Xenopus tropicalis: one gene and its partner. Each later gene encodes a partner of the first gene's protein in a complex. Links are inferred from orthologs where the notes say so. Each region holds a gene or a part of one and is shown on either strand. Other genes may lie near its edges.

The links.
Region 2: the proteins of stat2 (region 1) and irf9 are in contact, whole or in part, in a crystal structure (PDB 5OEN), measured with the Mus musculus proteins. The link is inferred for Xenopus tropicalis from reciprocal best matches to the Homo sapiens genes STAT2 and IRF9. Residues at the interface, in NP_064347.1 of Mus musculus: Arg163, Gln164, Lys166, Asp167, Glu168, Asp170, Val171, Phe174, Arg175, Thr177, Val178, Phe179, Leu181, Lys182, Asp188, His190, Gln191, Gln193, Gln194, Leu197, Thr201, Lys204, Met208; in NP_032420.1 of Mus musculus: Leu206, Leu208, Tyr212, Leu233, Asp234, Arg236, Ser244, Glu245, Ser246, Ser247, Met248, Asp270, Arg271, Leu274, Val275, Ala276, Asn278, Ser279, Arg280, Phe283, Val284, Gln285, Leu287, Cys313, Glu315.

What each region holds. Positions count from the first base shown.
Region 1 is NC_030678.2:138,423,792-138,427,619, forward strand, and holds part of stat2 (signal transducer and activator of transcription 2), read right to left. Parts: intron 2,219-3,828; coding exon 2,082-2,218; intron 1,643-2,081; coding exon 1,454-1,642; intron 300-1,453; coding exon 245-299; intron 1-244. UniProt on the Homo sapiens protein: Signal transducer and activator of transcription that mediates signaling by type I interferons (IFN-alpha and IFN-beta).
Region 2 is NC_030677.2:139,348,172-139,351,999, forward strand, and holds part of irf9 (interferon regulatory factor 9), read right to left. Parts: intron 3,613-3,828; coding exon 3,497-3,612; intron 1-3,496.

The DNA of each region.
Region 1 (3,828 bases):
GATCAAGATACCCACGGGTACAGGGAGTAGAGAGGCTGTAGTGCAAGAAAAGAAGTGCAAATTCAGGAATATTTTGACTCCTATTACAGACCTGCCTATAGCATAACCAGTTAACAAATAGTGCAAATAGCAGATACACAAACACTGTTATAAAGACTATTTAGAGTACATATTTAACAAAGAGAAATAAGATTTGAAAACAGGCAGTTATTGAAAAGAGCCTTAGCCATTGTGGTTGCCTTACCTTGTAGAGACAATAATCAGTTTGCGCTGGAGGTACTGCTCATATTGCAGGGTTACTTTAAAAGAAAGAGGAAAAACATGAATATTTCCTGCCGGGTGCTTATTTTTGCTCACCAATACATCTGGACATATATACAGAGCATACACCTGCACATACAGAGCTACAATAATAATACTCACATCCTACTACTGCATATACAGAGAAACTAGTAATATTACATTATACACCACATATCTGCATTCTAATGCTGCATGCAGAAAACCAGCAACATGCCACATGACACCTCGCAGTGGCAATGGGAAAAATGTTTAATAGCAGTTCGAGTAAATCTGGTGCAAACTGATAAGTATTAAAAGTCCACAGAAATTAACAAAAGGCTTAACCTGTCACTAAAGTGAAAGGGGAGTCATCACTTAGCACAATAATTACTCTATGTCTGTAGCACCTGGATCTTGTAACTACTGTGTTTCTTTATACTGCCAAATAGAAGATACGGGCCAGTACACTTGCAAGTTTTGCATTTTACCTCTGATTTAAGTCTAATATGATGTCACTGGATTGCATGACATCACTTTATGTTTTTGTTCATGTCTAATTTGTATTATTAGGGATGTACCAAAGGGTCAATGTGGACTAGCAAAGCAGTTACAGGGATGCACTTTTTAGCTCTCTGAAGAACTGTAAACTGCCCTGTAAAAAAAAGTATAAAAGTGTTTGGGGAGGAGTTGTTTGTACCCACTTAATGAATGCTGCTTATTCTTTTAAAATGTTGATATTTGTTCTGCTCATGTTGCCATAGCACTAATACCATTTACATGTTTTAAAAGACACTGCGACAGTGCACTGTGCCTTGTGCCTATGCAATGGACAGAGACTGCATCACTTAACATAATCAAGAGAGCAATCTGGTGTGTGGAAAAGTCTAATTGAGTCTAAGGGCTCTGGCACACGGGGAGATTAGTCGCCCGCGACAAATCTCCCTGTTCGCGGGCGACTCAAGGGGCTTGCCTTGAGAGGAAACATACGCCGCCGCATATGCCATCCCACTGGCGATTTACATTTTCGCCGGTAGGATGGCATTTTGGGGAGATTAGTCGCCCGCTAACAGGGAGATTTGTCACGGGCGACTAATCTCCCTGTGTGCCAGAGCCCTAATTGTTAAAGGTACTGAGTGCTAAACGAGTATAGATTTCCTCTCAATATACTCACGTTCAGGCCTTTTCTCGTAATATGGACCAAAAGCCTCATCCTTGGGTATGTTAGGGTACCGATACTTCAGAGGATTCTCAGGAATGTTTTCCTCAGCCAAAAGCTGATAGTTCCGGATGATCTCAGTGAGTGGGATGGAAGAGAGTTCCTTCTTGGTGTATGGTTGGACAGAACGGATAGTGTAGGTTCCTATGGGCAGAACACACAATAAAACGGGTATTTGTAGAAAGAGCTTTGTTGTGTATAGCATTAAATGTAAATCATTTGGCTGAAATCCAGTAAATATATGCTACAGAAAATGGCCATTGAGAACACTAAAATTTGCACCTTTAAAAGCTATTAAAAAGCAACTTGTGCCAATACAATCCCCTTAGCATCCTGCTGTTGTTACCAATAGGTCAGTTTAGCATACTCTGATGAATATTGTGCAATATTGTGTAAGTCTATGACACTTTTCATGCAAATATGGAAAGAAAGCGTTACATGCATGCCAATCAAGCTAAGATCAATGTTGTTATCACATGGTGCATGATATCTGAAACATATATGGATGCTCCCAGGTGCCAATTATGTGCTGCTAAGCCAGAGTGACTATACTATCCTTTCTGCATGCCATTATTTAACCTACCATCTTCATGCTGTTCCACCCAGGTGCACGTGATCCCACCACAAATGCTCTCACTAAAGCGAAGGAGAAAAGTGCCTGATATCTCGGCCTTTAGCAGAATCTCTTCTTTCTTGCGACTTACAAATCCCATCACGTGCCTGCAAATACAGTGTGCACATTATAGTTACCCAGGAGCAGAAACCCATAGCAACCACTAAGATGTTTGCTTTCAAACAGGTAACCAATAACTTCTACTTGCTTATGGGTTACTGCTCCTGGGCATAAATATGTAATAAAGTTACAGAAAACAGTTAATCGCAGCAAGTCTGTTTATTGACCTTATTTCAGAATAACATTACATTTTTATTTGCTTTTCTAGGTTTCCTAATACTCGTGATAAGATACAGTGAAGTCTGCTAATAACATACATTTAAACCTTTCTATTTCAATGGCACAGTAACAGTGTTTCTGGTTCCCAGTCAAATGAATGGGAATCATGCCCTACTAGAGAAAGGGTTAAAGGACAGGAGAAGGAACTGTTCTTCTGCACCGACTTCTTTCCTAAAGGGGAACTACCGCAAAAATGAAAATTTAATATAAGCTTCAGCATACTGAAATAAGAATAATCTAATTAAAAAGTCTGTACTGTTACTTTTCACTACCCTCCTCTCAGCATCTGTCTTCATTTTCTCTTCATGCAGGAGATGGAGTGAGATTTTGATTGACAGTTGGGTGTAATCTAGCCTTTGAGGGGTGTTCCTTTAGCCTAGAAGATGAATTAGAGCTCACTGTAGACTGTGAAAAGTTGTTGAGTATTTCAAATGGTCATGTGTCTTTCCACTACAGTCTTAGCAGACATGTCGTATGTTTTGCTATTATGTTCAAATAAATACATATATCATGTTCATGTAAGTGATTTGTTCCCAACAGGGTAAGATTTTCTATTTGCTTGAATCAGTTATTTGAGTGAGCTGTAATACAAGACAATAAATCAGGAAGCCCCCTAAAAGATATATTAGATCTGTCAATCAAAATCAGACTTCTGACTCCTGCCAGAAGAGAATATGAAGAGACAGACAGATGCTGAGAAGGAGATGGTGAAAGGGAGGAGACTCTCAGAGGGAAGACCTACGTTTGAATACACCTAGAAGAGTGCCAGGAGCAAAATCCACCTGATCCAGCTGAGGAGAAGGTCAAACTCTTTAATAATTTATTTAGAGTAGGACATTATATGAGATTGGAACCTTAACAGAAGTGTTTTATTATTTCTCTATTTATTAACAACAGAATTGAAAATTCTGTTCTGGACTCATTATTATTCTAGGGAGTTAATTGGATTTATGGAAGCAATCTAGGAATGTACTGTCTTATCCAGGAATATCTGGGCCAATCTTTAAGGCTCTGGCACACGGGGAGATTAGTCGCCCGCAACAAAACTCCCTGTTCGCGGGCGACTAATCTCCCCGGATTGCCATCCCACCGGCGAAAATGTAAATCGCCGGTGGGATGGCATACACGGCGGAAATTGCGCCGCCGCGTATGCCATCCCACCGGTGATTTACATTTTCGCCAGTGGGATGGCAATCCGGGGAGATTAGTCGCCCGAGACACAGGAGATTTGTCGCGGATGACTGATCTCCCCGTGTGCCAGAGCCCTTAAGGTCAAATTTGGACAAATCTTCAAATAGACTGTACAGTTTGCTTTAAATAAAGTAAAGTAAGACTTGCACATTTCTACTACCAGTCAGTCCACAGCAAACAGTACAAA
Region 2 (3,828 bases), on another chromosome or scaffold:
ACTTTTCTCTCTGATATAAATACGGTAACTGGCCAGTATCATTAGGGTCTGGTGCCACTGTGGCACTCTGAAGCTTTGCACCCTTCACCTTATTTTTTATGATTAACAATGACAAAAAAAAGTCCTTACTTAATACCCTTCTATGCACGTACCAGAGCAACCAATGTAGCCCAGGTTTTTCAATAAACAGAAGCATTTCAAAGTACTAATGTTTTTCTCAGTCCTGTACAACAGAAGTGTTCATATATAAACATACAGATTACATTAAAATGCTGTCATACAGGAGGCAGAGAAGGCAGTGGTTTATAATCAAAAAGAAAAAGGGTATAACATATTCTGTACAAGTTTAGTTGTCTACAAAATTACCTAGACTTTTTGTCTCCCTATTATCAGTAAGTTGGCTTGTTTCTGTGCTACTGGTCAACATGTTTTATTTTTGTTCTTACTTGGCCTTGACATGACAACAACATGAATAAAAAAAAAAGTAATGAAGACCAATTGCAAAGTTGAATAGGACATTCCATAACATATTAAAAATTAAAGGGGTGGGGGGGAACAACATGGGTTTATAAGCTTTGAATATGCTGTGTGCCATGCATATAGCATATTTATAGTATAGCAGTCTACAACATGATCTATAGGTCATAAAATAATATTGTTCTTTTATAGTCTGGAAAGAATAACAAGACCAAGACAAGCAATATGACATCATACAAAAACATTGTGTTTTTTAAATATACAGTGAGGAACATAAGTATTTGAACACCCTGCAATTTTGCAAGTTCTCCCACTTAGAAATCATGGCGGGGTCTGAAATTCACATTGTAGGTGCATTCCCACTGTGAGAGACAGCATTTAAACAAAAAATTCAGGAAATCACATTGTATGATTTTTAAATAATGTATTTGTGTTGCACTGCTGCACATAAGTATTTGAACACCTGGCAATCAGCAAGAATTCTGGTTCTCAAATACCTGTTATTCTGCCTGGAGTAGAGTGCACCTCTACTCCACTCATTAATCTAAATTAATAGCACCTGTCTGAGCTCTTTAAAGACACCTGTCCACCCCACAGTCAGTCAGACTCCAACTACTACCATGGGCAAAACCAAAGAGCTGCCAAAAGACACCAGAGACACAATTGTGGACCTCCACAAGGCTGGAAAGGGCACAGGGCAATTGCCAAGCAGCTTGGTGAAAACTGTTGGAGCAATTGTTAGAAAATGGAAGAGGCTAAAGACGACTGTCAGTCTCCCTAGGACTGGGGCTCCATGCAAGATCTCACCTCGTGGGGTATCACTGATGATAAGAAAGGTGAGGAATCAGCCCAGAACTACAAGGGAGATGCTGGTCAATGACATGAAGAGAGCTGGGACCACAGTTTTAAAGGTCACTGTCAGTAGAACACTAAGCTGCCATGGTTTCAAATCATGCATTGCACGGAAAGGTTCCCCTGCTCAAGTCATCACATGTCCAGGTCTGTCTGAATTTTGCCAATGACCATCTAGATGATCCAGAGGAGGCATGGGAGAAAGTCATGTAGTCAGATGAGACCAAAGTAGAACTTTTTGGTCTAAACTTCACTCACCGTGTTTGGAGGAAAAATAAGGATGAGTTGCATCCCAAAAACACCATCCCTACTGTGAAGCATGGGGGTGGTAACATCATGCTTTGGGGGTGCCTTTCTGTGAAGGAGACAGGACTACTGCACTGTATTAAGGAGAGGGTGAATGGGGCCATGTATTGTGAGATTTTGAGCAACAACCTCCTTCCCTCAGTCAGAGCATTGAAGATGGGTCGTGGCTGGGTCTTCCAACATGACAATGACCCGAAGCACACAGCCAGGATAACCAAGGAGTGGCTCCGTAAGAGGCATATCAAGGTTCTGGAGTGGCCTAGCCACAGTCTCCAGACCTAAATCCAATAGAAAATCTTTGGAGGGAGCTGAAACTCTGTGTTGCTCAGCGACAGCCACGAAACCTGACAGATTTAGAGGAGATCTGTGTGGAGGAGTGGGCCAAAATCCCTGTTGCAGTGTGTGCAAACCTGGTCAAGAACTACAGGAAACATTTAACCTCTGCAATTGCAAACAAAGGCTTCTGTACCAAATATTAACACTGATTTTCTCAGGTGTTCAAATACTTATGTGCAGCAGTGGAATACAAATACATTCTTTAAAAATCATACAATGTGATTTCCTGAATTTTTTTTTTAAATGCTGTCTCTCACAGTGGGAATGCACCTACAATGTGAATTTCAGACCCCGCCATGATTTCTAAGTGGGAGAACTTGCAAAATTGCAGGGTGTTCAAATATTTATGTTCCTCGCTGTATCTACCATCATTCAATGTTAGTGTTCAGAACACAGCCATCACAACACTAAGGTAGAATTTGTTTTTTGAGATATCTTAAGATTCTTACAGTTTAAACATCAAAAAGGCACATGTATGTATATCTATTTATATGCATACATTAAAATAAATTGAGTGATTAAGTGATCATAAGTTGGGTGTCATGTTTTAGTCTAAAACAGATCAGCAAGTGGGATGGTGTACTTTTATATTGTCTGAGACAAGGCAAATGTATTAATTAAACAAAGTTTTAAATTAACAAGTTTGCTCTGAAACAGCATCTGAGCATTGTCAGTAATCTATCAGACAAGTTGGTTAAAGGGGACCTATCTACCACACATAAAAAGCTGTATAATTAAAGTCATTTTTAAAATAAATATGAAACCCAAATTCTATTTTTTTTTTAAAAAAAACATCCATACCTGTTATAAACTTTATTTTATTTAGAAATCTCAGCTGTCAATCATATTTTGCCTTCCCTGCCTCAGGCATAGAAGCGGGGCAGGCAATTACTTTCACTTTCAACTCTGCACTTCCTAGATGTCCCTGCTTTCCTCTTATTCCCCCTCTCTACTAATGGCCTATAATTGTGTAGCAAGATTTTAGGATGATGCAAAGCTCTCTTAGTACCAGTGATCACTAAATGGAACATGCCTGCTTGATGTGATTGTGACTTCCAAGACTGAGGGAAACACAATTTATATAATTTATATTAGGGGTGCACTGAATTGAGGATTCGGCCAAGATTCAGTCTTTTTCGGCAGGATTCGAATTCAGCCAAGTCCACGGGTCCTGGTTGAACTGAAAAATCACATGGACTTTTTTCACGTAAACAAGGAAATTTAATTTTTTCCCCCAAACCTAATTACCATATGCTAATTAGGATCTGGTTTGGTATTCGGCCGAATCCAAAAAAGTGGATTCGATGCACCAAATCCACTTTTTTGGAGTAGAGAGTCCCCTTTAAGCCTGAGGGAGAAGGTAGAAGGCCAATACTGCCTACAGCTGTAGTTCTGAAACATCCAAAAAAACAAAGTTTAGCATGTACGTTTTAGAAAGTAATAAAAGAATGAAGTTACATTTCTTGCATCAACACATATACTAAACAAATGGAATAAAATGTAAATATACAGTTTAAATTCTCACCTGTGCTACAATTAGTTTGTTAGTAAGAGACTCATGCTCTGAGATTTCCTCCCCAAAGCATAAGGTAACTTCATAACTGGGGGGCATTCCACCTTCTGTTTTGTATTGCTCCAGATCTAAAAGGGACATTGGAAAAAAAGAAATGCAGCAAATATGCTTTACAATAATTCCATATATCTATTTAAATCATAATGGAAACTCCTGCTGTGTAGCACTAATTTTGCTTGTATATTCCTCATGGTGCACTATAGCAGTAAACAAAATACTTCTACATGATAAATCCCAACATACCAAAAAAGCACATTTAATATAGCTGATCATTGTTCCTATCA